Rhinolophus ferrumequinum: one gene and its partner. The main gene of each other region encodes a partner of the protein of the gene in region 2 in a complex. Links are inferred from orthologs where the notes say so. Each region holds a gene or a part of one and is shown on either strand. Other genes may lie near its edges.

What was found. Proteins that work in one complex are often made in the same cells at the same time.
Region 1: the proteins of SLF2 (region 2) and SIMC1 are in contact, whole or in part, in a cryo-EM structure (PDB 7T5P), measured with the Homo sapiens proteins. The link is inferred for Rhinolophus ferrumequinum from reciprocal best matches to the Homo sapiens genes SLF2 and SIMC1. Residues at the interface, in NP_060591.3 of Homo sapiens: His738, Val772, Leu775, Lys778, Asp783, Phe786, Gln790, Gly791, Phe792, Thr794, Ser795, Ala796, Tyr797, His798, Tyr799, Cys820, Ile821, Gln825, Ser828, Met831, Glu832, Ile835, Arg836, Asp838, Thr839, Ser841, Asp842, Ser843, Pro847, Lys919; in NP_001295125.1 of Homo sapiens: Tyr426, Arg428, Leu431, Lys435, Leu438, Pro440, Val442, His443, His444, Leu445, Phe447, Gln448, Arg470, Arg471, Phe490, Asp493, Pro497, Val521, Asp522, Lys525, Glu526, Tyr528, Met529, Met532, Lys533, Gln536, Leu537, Arg571, Asn658, Gln661.

The regions. Positions count from the first base shown.
Region 1 is NC_046307.1:40,258,219-40,266,029, forward strand, and holds the start of SIMC1 (SUMO-interacting motif-containing protein 1), read left to right. Parts: upstream 1-4,790; 5' UTR 4,791-4,913; coding exon 4,914-5,042; intron 5,043-7,811.
Region 2 is NC_046299.1:23,760,094-23,768,047, forward strand, and holds the start of SLF2 (SMC5-SMC6 complex localization factor protein 2), read right to left. Parts: upstream 3,027-7,954; 5' UTR 1,779-3,026; coding exon 1,639-1,778; intron 1-1,638. UniProt on the Homo sapiens protein: Plays a role in the DNA damage response (DDR) pathway by regulating postreplication repair of UV-damaged DNA and genomic stability maintenance.

The DNA.
Region 1 (7,811 bases), on a different chromosome or scaffold from region 2:
TGGTTCAAAGTACAAAAATGTAAGTACAAGAATGCCTATAATGGCAGTATGATATTGTAAACACCTAAGTGTTCATTGTTACAGTTAGCTGAATAAATTATCCAAGCAATGTAATACTTTGCTCAATAAGTTAGTTATACAAATTCTAGTAACATCTATTGAAAAAGATGAACAGCCTAGGAGAAAATATAGTGAATGTGTATGAACAAAAAAACTACAAAGGGCCAAAGAGCATTTTAAAAGTATCTCAACTTTGTTCGTAATAAATGGAAATCAGAACAAGATACACCAATTTCAATTTCTTTGATTGGCAACAATTAAAGTTTGATAACCAATGCTTGTAGAATTTTGGGAAACAAGCACTCTCAACACTTTGTTGGAATGCTGTTTGGTGTTAACTCTCTAGATGACAATTTGGTAATTTCTATCAACACATAAAACACGTACACCCTTTAACCCAGTCCCCGAGGCTTAAGGATTTCTCTGCGGAGATTTGCTAGCAAGATTTGTTAAGTTTAATAACAAAAAGATTCTTGTAGCATGATTGGTAATAGTAAAATCAAAACCACACAACAAACAAACAAAACCCTAGAAACAAAATATCCATCGTGGGGAACTGATTAAATAAATTGCTGCACATCCTAACTAACAACTTTTTTATGCAGGAGTTACAAAGATACAGTTATCTTGCAGTTATGGAACAATCCCCAAGATATATCAACTGAAAAAAAGCAAAGTAAATAACTGTGTATAGTGTGATCTTTCTTGTGTTAAAAACAAACAAAAAAGAGAAAGATACAAAAGAAGAAATAAGTATACACGGTATATAGTAATTTTGTATGTTTTGAAGCATTCACAAGAAACTATTTATTTGGGTATTTAGGTACTTGGTATTTAGCCTTCGGAAAGCTAAATTTCTTATCTTTTTTGTAATTTTTTTGTAGCATGAATTTTCTAATCTCATAGATATGTTTCTTTTAGTTTTACAAACTGTTCATTGTAGGAATCAGGGATAGGAAAACATGATGTTTCTTTTGCTTGCTTCTTTGTGCTTTTCTATAATACAAGAAGAGCTAATGTCATACTATTTTAAGAATATTATTACAAGCCAATAAAATGGATAATATAGACAATGTAGGCCTATATTCACTGACACAGAAAACTGTAAAGTCATGGTTTTTAATGTAAGAAAGCCAGTTGCAATACAACGAGCATGATATGATGCCACTTACATAAAATGATGGACATATTTGTACCTGCGGGTTTTGACTACTGAGAGATGAATGGAAAGAGGCTATCAGAGTGTGATGTGGTTGTACACTCTGCTTTGTAACCACTCTGAATTGCTTTCATTTTCTCAAACCGAGGATGCATCATCTTTGAACATAAAGGATAAAAAAAATGTTTTACAAAAATTTTGACATCTACTTGATATCTCGGCAAACTAGAAGCTGGGAGGGAAAAGGGGAAAAGGATAAGAAAATGATCTAAATAAAGTTATGTACACTTAGAGGCCCCCTACAAAAGCAGTCCAGAACAGCTAGGAGGGTCCTGAAACTGGAAGATTGTGCCTGGAATGCAGCAGAAGGGACTGTGTTCCCTAGTGGAGGGAGAAACCTGAGCTGGCTAGCTTTGGCACAAATAAAAGCGGGTCTGCAGGCACCGACACTGCCATATAATGAAAACAAGAAAAATGAAAGAAAAAAACCTTTCAAAGTTGTATATCCACCCCAAAATCCCCATTAATAAGGCAGGAAACCGAATTGCTTGGAACACTTTCACTGCCAATGATGGTTTCAAATTTCTATATGAAAGCAGACTTACCTTTTGGATATAGCTAAAAACATACGTCATTCTGACCAGTACTTCTGAATACAGATAAATATATAGAAAAGCTCTAGGAGTAAATACGGAAGCACTGAAGAAGGGAAACAGGGGTCAGGATGGAGGAGGTGGTCAAGGGGCCTTTTAACCTGATCTATAATGTTTCAATTTGTTAATAAAAGAAAAACATCCACATATCTCTGTTGTGGTAAAATGTACCATTATAATCATTTTTACATGTACAATTCAGTGGTACTAATAGTCACAGTTTTGTACAACCTTCATGACGATCCATTCCCAGACTACTCTTCATCATCCCAAATGGAAACTTTGTCCATGAAATAACTCCCTATTCTGCCTTCCTCCAAACCCTGATAACCTCTATTCTACTTTCTATTTCGATGAATTTTCCTTTTCTAGGTACTTCAGATAAGGAGAATCATACAAATCATCAGCATAAGAATTATCATGAAGGCCATGGGAATAGTTGAGATTGTGTGTGGAGGTGGCCTATGTCAGGACTCTGAGGAATATCAAGACCTAAGGAGTGGAGAGAGGAGCAGGAATCAGCTAAGGAGACTAAAAAGAAGCACACAGGGAGTCAAATAGACTCAGTGTTTAATGGCATTTGGAGAAGACAACGCCTGAATCCCTTCACAGCAAGGATGGTTTCAGCCATTCTGAAATCTGTTGGCCATAGACTCCCTGCCCCCCAGACCAGTGGTTTTCAATGAGTGGTCCCCAGAAAAGCAGTATGGACCTCACCTGGGAACTTGTGAGAAATGCAAAATTTTGGGCCCCACCTCATGCGTACTAAATCAGAAACTCTGGGGTGGCACCCAGCAATCTGTTTTAACAAGCCTTCTGGGTGATTCTGATACTCAGTAAAGTTTGAGGATCACAGCACTAGACAATGCTTAGACAGTGGCTAATAACCATCCCTTAGGAACCAACCCCTTTTCTAATAAACACATTTTCCTTTGAATCTGTTAATCCATTTTACTAAGTTGCTGGAGCCTGAGAGGTAGGATTTCGTCAATACCCCACATTTATTGTAACACAGATCCTATTTTGATTTTAATGTTCCTGTCCTACGTCAACTACCTACTGCTGCTCCCTCTACCGGGTATATCTTTTTCCATCTTTATAACTTTGCTCATTCATAACATCTAATCATTTATGGCATCTGCTACCTCATGGCTACTCTGTGCATTTTTTTCAGTTTCTGATCCTGCTCCAAACTGAACAAGTCTCCATCTCACAGTTTAAATCCCTGAGTGTATAGAGCACATAAACAAAGTTGTTGTTGCATTGAAATTTGCAAAACAACTACCGTAGGGCCGGACCGGTGGCTCAGGCAGTTGGAGCTCCGTGCTTCTAACTCCGAAGGCTGCCTGTTCGATTCCCACATGGGCCAGTGGGCTCTCAACCACAAGGCTGCCAGTTGAACAACTCGAGTCCCGCAAGGGATGGTGGGCTGCGCCCCCTGCAACTAGCAACAGCAACTGGACCTGGAGCTGAGCTGCGCCCTCCACAACTAAGACTGAAAGGACAACAACTTGACTTGGAAAAAGTCCTGGAAGTACACACTGTTCCCCAATAAAGTCCTGTTCCCCTTCCCCAATAAAAATCTGAAGAAAAAAAACCAAAAAAACAACTACTGTGTTTCCCCAAAAATAAGACCTAGCTGGACCATCAGCTCTAACGCATCTTTTGGAGCAAAAATTAATATAAGACCTGGTATCATATCATCTCATCTCATCTCATCTCATATTAGTTGTGAGACTGATGAAAGTGAAAGTAAACATGTTTATGTTTATGTGTGAAACTGAGCATAACAAAATTGAGTGTCACCAAAACGACTTCTGGTTATCACATAAGAAGTAAACAAGTCCAAGGAAAAGAGGATGAAGGCAGAACTCCAGAGCGATGCTGTGAGCAGTCTGACTGGGCGCTGCGGCTCAGACCCTCCGCGAGGTGCCAGCCCCGATACCAGGACTCTCCGAAGTTCTTCTTTGCAAGACCAGCTCGCCTCAGACCCACCATGGGCGCAGTCACCTCTCCCAGACCAATAACCTTCTCCACCTCGATTGACTCTGGGACTTGGTTTGTCATTAAATTCTATTTTATCTCGGATAACCTGTGGTGCTTACCAGAGCACTGGCCTGGGAGGGGCATTGGTTCCCAAATAAAGTTGTGTTACTCACTCTATCTGAACCTGTGTGTCTGGCCTTTGTTCCCCACTCAGGTCACAAGTACCAAGCAGGGATGTAGGACTCTGCCAAGGGGTTAATGTCCCCTTGACTTTCAGTAAGAGACTGAAATGTGGCAACTGCACTTCCAGGCGCTTGCAACACGGAGTGACATGGATTGTTGCTGAAACTGCAAGTTGGCACAATTTAGGAGAGTAATCTGGCATAATTATCGAAACAACAGAAACATTTCATTTCACCCAGTAATTCCACTTGGAGGAATTTATCCTACAGATGTACTTGCACACGTGCACAGCGAAGTGGGGCCTCTCTCCCCAGGCGCAGGCCGAGGCTAGGCCCGCCCCCGCCTCAGCCCCAGGCCAGGGATCCCCCCTGTCCCCACCCCCCGGCAGTCAGTCGGGGGCCCTCCCCCCTCAGCCCCAGGCCAGGCCTCCCCCCCGCCAGCCCCTCCGGATCAGTCAGCGATCCGTGTGGCTTGTCACACCTCTTCACATGAGTCAATCGGAAGCAGTTGGGGAAGCCCTCGCAGCTGCAGTGTCTCGCACGCCCGCCCCCAACAGCGGCCCAAACCAGCTGCAACTCGGTTTTCTCTTTTTTCTTCTCTTCAGAAAGGGAGGACGAGTGCCACCGCCAAGCTCAGTGACCACGGCCTTGAACCTCCGTGCGCAGCCCGCGGCCCGCGGCCTTGGGGGCGGGGCTCGGGGTGGGCACGGGGCGGGGCTCGGGGCGGGGCTGGGGCGGGAAGGGCGGGGCCTGCGGGGTGATGGCCAGGTTTGTCGCCACCGCCGCCGCCTCGGCAACAGGAACCGAGTCGCCGCTGCCACTGCCGCCTGGGTCGCCGGCCACCTGCGCGCTGGCTGCGCGGGGTCCGCAGCCATGGATGATTTTATCGTGATCTCGGACGACAGCGGCTCCGAGAGCTCCGAGGGGACCCGCTCGGGCCGGGCGCGGCGGCTCCGCCGGGCCCTGTCCCGGACCTCCGGTGCGCTGTCCCGCCGGACCGTGGTGAGTGAGCGAGCCGCTGCAGCCGCAGCGCCGCCTCCGCTCGGGCCGCGCAGCTTTGCGACCCTCGGCCCGGGCCACTGTCCCCGGCGCCCCCACCGCCTGCCCGTGGCGTCTCACAGCAACAGCCGCTTCCCGCCTTGCCGCCTTTCGGGCCACTCGGGCCGGGTAGAGCGCGGCGGGCCCCGGCGGGGGCGGCCAGGCCTCTGGCTCCGCGCTCAAGCCCGAGTGGGCCGAGGCTGGAGAGCCGCAGCGGAGCACATGGGCGAAGTCCAGGCGCGCCGGGGGTGGGGACCTCCAGAGCCCACAGCAGGCGGCGGGATCAGGCCGGGCCGGGGGCTTCCCCGGGCCTAGGGGTGCAAGGGGACAGAGGGGCTTGGGGGGAGCCCCCGACTTCGAGGCCGAGACGCGGGAGCGTGTAATTGTTTGGCTTGTGGTGGGTACAGATGTGTGCAGGGAGGTAACAGGAGCCCGGGCTGGGAGGAAGGGAGGGAATTGCGGGCCTGGGCCAGATGGTGGCCCTGCTCCAGGGCCTGGCGGCCGAGCGAGGGGCCCGATTTTGGAGTTGTTCAGGAGGGTGATTTATATCGCTTAGCAAACATTTACCAAGCTCTAAAGGAAGGGAAACATCTTGCACTAGTTCTTTTTCCCTTGGGCTCCAGGTCTTTGTCCTTGCTAAGATGGTAAATAAAACATCTATGGTCTCTGCCTTTCTAGAATCCTCCACAGATATTTATTGGGCCACTACAATGGGCCAGATGTTTCAGAGGCTGGGGATACCATGGAGAACACAACATCCGTGGTCCCTCTCATAGAAGGTGATATATTCAACAAGTGGCTATTGAGTTCTCAAGGGGTGGGAGATGTACAGGCTTTCTATCAGAAGACTTTCAATATCAGACTTCCGGTACCCTTCCCAGCCTCCCAAAGCCGTACCCCAGAAATAGAGGAATGACCGTGCTTACTTTATAGAACTGTAACATACCGTTAAAGGAAAACGCCTTTCTTCATATGCAAATATTCCTTCAAGACAAATCTAACTTCTGCTCCTCCAATCCCCTTCCCAGACAGTTTGGTCCCTAAGCCTCCACGGTGAGCCCCTTCTGTGCCCCAGGTATAGTGGCCACTACAGAATGAATGGCATGCAAAAGAAATTAACATATAGTGCTTTGTTGCCAGGGTTCAAGCAAGAGAGGTTGTCAATAAATCTCAGTAAAGAATTTAGATGAGATAGAAAAGATTTTCAAGGTAAAAGTGATTCAGCTGGTAAGTGAATGGATGTACCTAGTGCTGTGACAGTGTTGTAAGACATAGTAGGTCCACAACAAATATTTGTTGGGCGAAAGAATGATTGAAGGAATGAATGGGGGAGAGAGAGCAGTTCTGGTGGATGTTGGATAAGTGAAAGCGGGTACAAGAGTAGTCGCAGACTTGGAGTGAAGGAGATGCTGAGTTCAGCCTGGACCTACTGGATTTAAAGTGCTAATGGGAAATGTACATACATGGGTGTGGCCCGCCCAGAGACACTGATCTCCAGAGAAAAGTCAGGACGGGGAGAGACTTGGTAATCACCGAAGTAGAAAGCATCAAAGGCCTAATAGTGACAGTTCATCAAAGAGTACAGAGAGGGAAAAGGTGGAAGGAAAAAAGACCGCAGAAGAACTCACAGCTGCCTTTGCTCCTGGCTCCTCCTGTTTCCCGCTGCCCCTTCTTTCAGCCCCCCTTGAACATGCTCCTCCCTGCCTGCTTCCTTCTGTGCCAGCTCTTGTCCCTTTCCCCTTATCCTACCTAGTCCAGCTTCCTTCTTCAAGAGCACAGATGTCATCCTTAGCCCAGTCTGTGTGTCTGTGGTGGCCCTTCACTGTAAGTGGGTGCACTCTCAAACTGCTCCCGCCTCATGACCACCCACCCAAAGCATTTTGATCTTGAGCCTTCTGAGTGGAAGAGAAATGAGGGCAAGTTGTAGAGAGTAGTACCCAATTTAAATCTTGTTTCCCCAGATATTCTTACTCTTTTCTAAAAAAAAATCCAAGCTTTTCTCCTTTTATCTTTCTTGCAAATTAGATAGGGTGATAGGATAACCATGTAAAAGTTCAGGGGCGTTGAGAGACTTGCCTATATGGAGATGTAATTTCATACCGTACATAAAATTCACCCATAGAATTCCCTGACTTGTACAGCCATCACCACTACCTAATTTTAGAACATTTTCTTCACTCCAGAAGGAAACCCTGTATCCTCCAATAGGCTCTCTGGCTTTTTTTTAGGTACACAATCATATCATTTGAAAAATAAAATTACCCCATTTTAAATTATAAAAAATATTTTTAAATTATAAACAGAGGAAATAGGGGTCGGCCCAGGGGCTCAGGCGGTTGGAACTCTGTGCTCCTAACACCGAAGGCTGCCGGTTCGATTCCCACAGGGGCCAGTGGGCTCTCAACCACAAGGTTGCCTGTCCGATTCCTCAACTCCCGCAAGGGATGGTGGGCTGCGTGTCCTGCAACTAACAACGGCAACTGGACCTGGAGCTGAGCTGTGCCCTCCACAACTAAGATTGAAAGGACAACAATTTGACTTGGAAAAAAGTCCTGGAAGTACACACTGTTCCCCAATAAAGTCCTGTTCCCCTTCCCCAATAAAATCTTGAAATAAATAAACAAACAAACAAACAAACAAACAGAGGAAATAATTCAGGCAATCAGTAAGAACTCACCCATGTCCATTCCCACTCTCCAGGGATAACTAACAGTTTTTGTGTATTGTTCCAGA
Region 2 (7,954 bases):
AAACTTGGAACAATCCAAGACCCTTGAAGGTTAAGTTTCTAAATCTTGTCCACTTTACTGGCCACATTAAAAGAGTAATGCCCATCTTTAATGGTTTACTGAGAGTTTACAATGTTTGTTTGAGATGTTGGTAGAAAAGCTAAGTGGTTATTAAATGAATATGAGTGATGGAAGAATCTATGCATTTGGTTTCATAAATTATATCAGGCAAATTAATTCCACGACAGGAGAGTAAAGAAAGAAATGTTAGAGGTTCTGTAAAGCACAGGATGATGCCTTCAGTTATTGGTTGAGGAAAGAGAGATGGCACAGGATTAAGAAGCAGTTAATGAATTCAAAACAATATTAAATGCTTTTACATTAATTACGAAAAGTAACACTATATCTCTTCCCTAAAATATTGATCCCTGGCTCCTTTTCAAGAAATATACAAGAGAAAATGGTTTTGAGTAAACATACAAGAAATTTGTAAACTATGAATGTAACTTTCAAGAAAGAACCGTTTGCTACGTTCATATGCACAGAAATGTTTATTACTTATTTATAACTAGTTAAAAAACTTATGCTCGCTTTGACAGCACATACACTAATACAAAAACTCACAAACTAACAGCTCACAAATCCTTATCTGAAACTTTTGCGGCCAAATGTATGTTAATTCGCTGAACGTACTAGATTTTAGAAAGGGGGTAACTTGGATGCAATATGTAAAGCCCCCCAGTGGGGTCTGACACTGAACTCTGTAAGCAAGCTCATTAATATTTCTCCAGCAAAACTTATGAATACTTACACTTAATGGGATAAAGACCTTATACAGCTTCCATTAATTCGAGTCACGTTTGGCTGCCAAGTAAGATGTGGTGCCAAACCTATTGAAAACTTTGGGTTTTCATACCTTTCTGACTTTCCGAAATAAGACAAGGGATTGTGGATCTGTACCACAATGTTAGAAGATAAATTTACTGTTAAACTTATGTTACAAGCTTTTAAACTTAAAATAAAAAAGACAGTACCAAGTGTGTAGAGAATGTAAATACGTTTTATTGTCAGAGGATGTCATTTGAGGAACTCCCCATCTCATCACATAGGCTCCCACAAAATGTTTACATAGTAACTGGCCTCTTGGCGAGAAGTAAAGTTACTGGAGAAAACATATCACACGCCAAATATACATGTTTTTTCAAGTATGAATTACCGTGTATATTGAACTATAAAGTAGTGGAAGGGTTTTCCTCATCACATCTTACATAATTTCACCCACACGACAGAAAGATTTGTACTATTAAACCACTAGGATCAGTAAAACTGACAACAGAAACCACGTAAATATGCATTAACCGGTTAGGGCCCCGGGTCCAGCTATCGTAAAGGACAAAAATTACGTTCTACCTAAGGCGGGATCTCCCTAGCCACCTCGGAGGTGGTCACTAGACCGAGGACAGCGTCCCAACTACAGAGAAGAAAACTCGAACTCCCAGGAGCCCCCGCGCGAAGGCGGGGCGGGGGTTTGCCAGGCCCCGGAAAACAGAGGCCTGAGCTCGCGGAGGATGGCGGGAGCTGGAAGAGCGGCCGTCTGCAATCCTCCCTCATACCCTTGCCCCCGCGACCCGGCCCCTTCTCAAGCCCTCCGCACGGTACCTTTCCCCAGGACTCTGTGTTCTCTTTCCCGCTGCAGCAGGGACGGTACTACCCGGTCTCAGATGACAGCGCGGGGGCGACGACCCCGGGGCTGGGGATGAGGGGAAACCTGGTCTAGTGAGCATGCAGCGCCTTGTCATGTCGGCGCCGCTGGCGACGGCGGCATGAGCTGTGGCTGGAGAAGTTGGGTGCGTGGTTGCCGTCTTGCTGCTGGGACTCCGGGAGGCTGTCGGAGCGGAGGTGGGCGGCACCCCCGGCTCTCTTCATGGCGGTTCTCTTTCTTCGGAAGTGACTCCTGTGTGAGCGGGAAGGAACCTGAGGACCATCAGGGGGCGGGTCTTACTTGAAGAGTCGCGTTCTGATTGGCTGGCACGGCGGTCATTGCTGTAGTAGCGCAATAGAGAGCCGCAGCCTCTCAGGAGAAGGAGGGGTTTCGGGAAGGGGGAGGGGAGAAGGAAAACTGCCCCGCCGTCACGTGTGCAGAGGATGGGGGCGCGCTGCCGAGTCCCCGCGGCGTCAGCCTTGGCTGGTCCTTGGGGGCAGGAAGGCGTGGGCCGCCGTGGGCGCTGCGGCAGCTGGCGACACCCGCCTGATCGAGAGCGAGGGGCGAGGTTTGCAGAAGCAACCCCAGCCCTGCAGCTACCTTTAGTGAGGATGGCCTACAATTGGGTTTTCTGTGTCTCACAATCGTGTCTCTGAAATCCCCAGCTGTTCATTACATTGTGTCTTTAGCATCTTAGGCCAAAGTGCCCTAATGCTGCCACCATTTCCTCCGTAGTCTGCACAGCCAGATTTGAAGACTTGTCCATTCTGTTAATATTCTTGTTAAGTGCTGTAGTGGATTCTCTTTCTTTTTTTTAAGAAGGAAAAAAACCCATTGAAATAAAGACTTTTTATTCCACAGAAGTATTTTGTTTCTCAGCTGCTGAAAGGAGTTATCTATGAAGTCTCTGCAGCCAGATTCCTTGGAGATTTTGGAAAGGAACATAGGGTCGGGTTTCAATTACCCATGTTTAAGTGTGGACAGCATAGATAAGTGAAAGCCACCAGCAATCTCCAGTCCTCCTTTGTAAATGGCCTGTGCTTTGGAGACTGTTAGCCAGGGTTTTTCTTTACAAACTGACGGACTACTCAGAGTGAGCCTCAGTTTCCACATCTATAAAATAGTATCTACTTTTTTTGGTAATTGTAAACCATAAAAGATAAGCGATGTAAACCACACAGTTGAGTTTCTCATGTAATAAGTACTGAGCAACTTAGAGTTCCTTCGTTTTTTTAGACAGACTCTTAACTTACTACAAAATTTTCCGGAGGTAGGTCAGACACTGTTACAACTATTAACCAATATATCAATCACAAGGATGTCCAAGTTTTGATTGGCAGGCCTGTTCAATCAGTTGGATGGAACAAAATCTTAAATGACACAAAAGAATTTAGACAGGTCTTTAAAGTTTATTGCACTGAGATTTAACTGCTTTGGAAGCGAAGCATGCCTGACTGACCTGAAGTTCACCTCCTTTCCTTCCCAGTTAGCCCTCAGGAGGAAGAATTAATGAGGAATAAAATGGCGAACAAGGTGGCAGGCAAAGTGGAGGGTAGAAGGTAAACAGTGAATGTACAGGTCTCGCATTCATCCAAAAAGCACACATGCACAGCTGTCTATATACTAGGTAGTAGTGATGCAAGAAAGGAAATACTAAAATAAGGAACATTTTTCTGCTTCTCTTAACTGAGAAGTTATTATTACTAGCATTGTTTCTTATGTACAAAAAGAACATAATAGATGCTCAAAATGTGTGGAATGAATAAAGACATACATTGTTCATTAAGGGCTTTTTTACATGTTTTATTTCCTATCTCTTGTCTGAGTGCTTCTGTTGGATGTTTCTACACGAGTAAGTTCCTGCTTCTATTACAGCACATCTACAAAGCATTTAATCTAATTCGTTTCATTGCATGTGCAGTCCATAAAAAAGAGTAATGCATAAAAACATGTTCTGCGTGATCAATTAGTTGCTTTTCTTGGATTACAGTATTTGAATCATCCAAGCCTCCAAGGTAGCACTTTAAAGTCTGTACTCATGCTACCAAACAATAGTTTCCACATTTTCTTAATCTGAGCAACAGATTATGGAGTTAAGTGAGGCAAGAAATCCCTTGATCAATAAATGGAGATGGAGTCATAATGAAAACACAATTAAAAAAAAATCTTAACAGGGAAGTAGTTATCTAAATCCTCAATAAGCATCAAGGCTCTTCTTTGTTTAAACTGTGTTCAAAAAGATACAAATTTGGGTTGCAGGGTGAAATATGCTCAATGTACTAATCAGAACTGCTAGGACTCTCTAAGGCTCTTTTCTCCCCCCAAATAGTGTTGGACACTATTTTGTTTATATGCCTTCTCCCACTTTGAATGTGTGTGCATGTATGCACGCACACACTCACACACACACACAGTTAATGTAAGGGCTTTTTACACATTAATTTGTAGTGGTCCAGAAATAGATAGCCAGGAAGCTGTACAGTAGGTAAAAGATGTTAAAGAGTTCAGGCATTTGCTCTCCAGGAGACAAGGGTAGAGAAAAACTTGGGTGGGGCTCAGGGAAAGGATGATGAGTAAAATAGACAAGACTGAATTAGAAGAGACAAAACTTCAGACAGATCCGGAGAAATCCAAAACTTCAATTCAAAAATCTTTATGCACTCCTATGTTTATTGCAGCACTATACACAATAGCTAAGACATGGAAACAACCAAAATGCCCATCAGTAGATGACTGGATTAAGAAACTGTGGTACATTTATACAATGGAGTATTATGCAGCCATAAAGAAGAAAGAAATCTTACCATTTGCAACAACATGGATGGACCTAGAGAACATTATGTTAAGTGAAATAAGTCAGACAGAGAAAGATAAGTACCATATGATCTCACTTATTTGCGGATTCTAAAGAAAAGAATAAGTGAATGAACTAATCAGAAACAGTTTTGGAGACAATGAGGAAAAACAGGGTTGCTAGATGGGCGGGAGGGGTGGGGGGTGGGGGGGAGGGTGAGGGGATTGGAGGGCAGTCGGTGACCACAGGATGGCCACGGGTTTGAAAATTAATCTGGGGAACGTAATTTGGTGGTTACCAGAAGGTAAAGGGGTTGGGGGGTGGGGGATGAGGGTGAGGGGGATCAAATGTATGGTGATGGAAGGGGAGCTGACTCTAGGTGGTGAACACAGTGTGATTTATGGATGATGTGATACAGAATTGCACACCTGAAATCTATGTAATTTTACTAACAATTGTCACCCCAATAAATTAAAAAAAAAAAAAGAAAAAAAAGAAGATAGGTGAAAAACAGAAAAGAAAAAAAAAACTTCAGACAGGATTGGAAAAATAATTTGGAGAAATTAAGGCCAGCTGACCTTAAAAGGCTAGTTTGGGAAGATTTGGGGACATGAGAAGAGGAAGCAAAGGCCACAGAACAGAGTGGCTTCTATGCATGAGGCGTCTATATGGTAGAGTTGATCTCAGTTTAGCATCCTGAGTTGTTAAAGACAATAGAAGAGCTCCAACTCTGGCCTTGAAGGGAAGGGAATGGGGCAGCAGCAGAAACAATGTTGCATGAACAACAGATTGTTTGCTAGGAATGTCAAGCCCAACAGTCAAGCCCAAGGTGGGAGTCCTGAGAGGTGTGGCAGTATAACTCATGCCAGAGATCCCAAGCAGTCAAAAAGAGAAAACAACTGGGGCAGATTGACTCACCCAGTACTTTAGGGGGCAGGGACTAAGAGAACAAAAGCTTAATAAGTTACAAAGAATGAAGAATGTTACTAAAAAGCAGAGGGGACTAAAAGTAACTTCTGATTTTCCAGACAATTTGACATTGTTTTGCTGTGAGATTGCTACACTCTGGAGTAAACTAGAAGACTCTTGTTGGAGGGTGGGCTAGGGCAGGCTGGGTTTGCTGCATAGCTACCAGTCTGTGGCCAAGAAAAGGTGTGGAGAGAGGGTAGAGGTCATCTGGGAAGGGGAATAAGGAACAGACTCAGAGAAATAAGAAATAATTAACTTGAATACCTGACAGGGAAAGAAAGACCAGGCGATGATCTGAAGAAGGGAAGGCAACCCCAGCATCTCAAGACCTGCACAAATCACTTTGCAAATGGATGCTGAACTCAAAACTGCCCAACAGGTGCTTGGAAAAAGCACTGGCTTGGTTTTAAGAGGCAGCTGGGGAAAAGTCAAATGCAATCCAATGTGTCATGTAACCTAAACTTCCTGGGAGTAATTAGCAAATTCTACAAAAGCAGATCTAATATTTAGGAAAATAGATTTCTTGTTACTTCACTATGGAATGGTGCAATATAGTTTTCCCACACTTTAGAACATGAGTAACATATTTGAGATTTTTTTACATACCTATTTCCTATACTATTACTTATGTAATATATTTTTCTTTAAATCACTTTTTAAACTTAAATACATTTATTTAAAAGAAAACTAAAAAAAAAATCATTTCTTTAAGTGAAACATCAGTATCACTGGAAAAGTGATAACTTTCCAAATGGAAGCTAACTGAAAACTAGTAACTAAATAAAAAATAGAAAAAAATTATCTCCATGTTTCTTTTAGAGTTATATTGTTTGCTAGTGGCTTTAGGCATAGGTATTACTCATACATCTGAAATATAAGAGACTCTTCGGGAAATATTGGTTTTATGGACTTCAGACTGTAAGCAGGTGTTTTTCAACTCAATTAGCAACCCATTAGAGGGTTTTGAAATTGATGTAGTGTGTGATGGCCACGTTGACAAAAAGAGAGAATGGAGTGGAGAATATCAGTGCATTTTTGCACATAGTATTTGGGTATGTGTTGTTTTGCAAAACTTTTACTTCTTCAGTTGTATATATATTTTATATGGCACTGATGTAAAATGTATTTCTGTGGCCTCAACTGTGGGCAGTGGTGGAAAATTTGAAAGTTGCTGTAATCTGTATCCCTATTTCACGCTTCTGTGTATTGGTGGCACTGAACAGCAGAAATCGCTTGGAGGAAAAATGATGGACTTCCTTTGGCCCGCCACTCCTGCTGGTGAGGAGGGTGGGGGGGACATAACTAGGGCTCTCCTTGTGCCCTTTTAAGGCCATACCCTCCAGAAGTTGGGGGGGAGGCGGATTTGTAGAGGGAAGCAGACGTCTCTCCAAAGAAGCTTGCCTTTATCCCTCCAGTGCTATAATAGCTTCAAGATAGAGAGGAGTGGCTAAGGTGGTCCTATCAGGTCATGCCTTGCCCTCTGTAATCTAGGGACTGCAGGTGAGAAATGGGACAGAATGGTCCAAAAGAGGCAGAAAGATCTATATTCCAAACTGTCCCTCGCATAAACCCCACCATCCTGGAACTGGAGACAGGATAATACATTTATTTGATCTCACACCTTTGCAATGCTCTTCCCAGAATTCAACACACCTTTCGCGACCCACAGGGCCTTTCTTTACTGGGCTCTGACCTGCCTCTTCAGAGTCATTCTCCATCACCACTATCCTTAAGCTGTAAGCTTCCACAACACCAAAATACTGACCCTTCTATGCCAGCCATGGTAAGATGCCCTCCTGAAGATGATCTTTTAACTCCTAAAGAGTTTTTTTGAAAGATGTGGGGCAACATCTTAAAATCAAGGGATTTCACACAAAATTCTAGATTTCTGGCTCACACTCATGCCTACAGGGGCTAGGTAGTAATATAAGTACATGAATCAGCTCCATTTTCCTAACTTTTATAGAGAATAGGGATCAGAGAAATATTTCTTAACAGCAAATCTTCACATTTCTACAAATTGGGAAATGGTGGCATTTACCCAGTGTTTACACAAGCATGATAATAAATGGCACCTGAAAGTCAGCCTCCCTGAGTAGAGAGAGGTGGGAGCGTGGGAGAACTGGAGGGCACATTCCCCACTAAATGGGGACAGCCTTTCCAGGCCGCAATTTCCATACGGGAATGTAGACCCAATGTTTCTTCCTTTTCTCTCAGCATCAGACCCCAGAAGTGGTGGGGTGAGACATGTCATAGACCTGCAGTAAAAGCCTGCATCCTCCCCACCATTTGAGGTGCCCTAGACATCTTGATACACACTCTAACATTTGTTTCTATAGTTCTATGAGATCATGCTCTCTTAAAGCACATGTCTCTTGGAACAAAATGAGCAGGAAATAGTACTTTTTGGTGCCTAGAGGAGTGTTATAGTAGTTAGCAGGATTTTCACTCGGGGATTCTTAAAGAAATTGCCATACTTTACCTATGATCAATACCTAGGGGCATTTAAA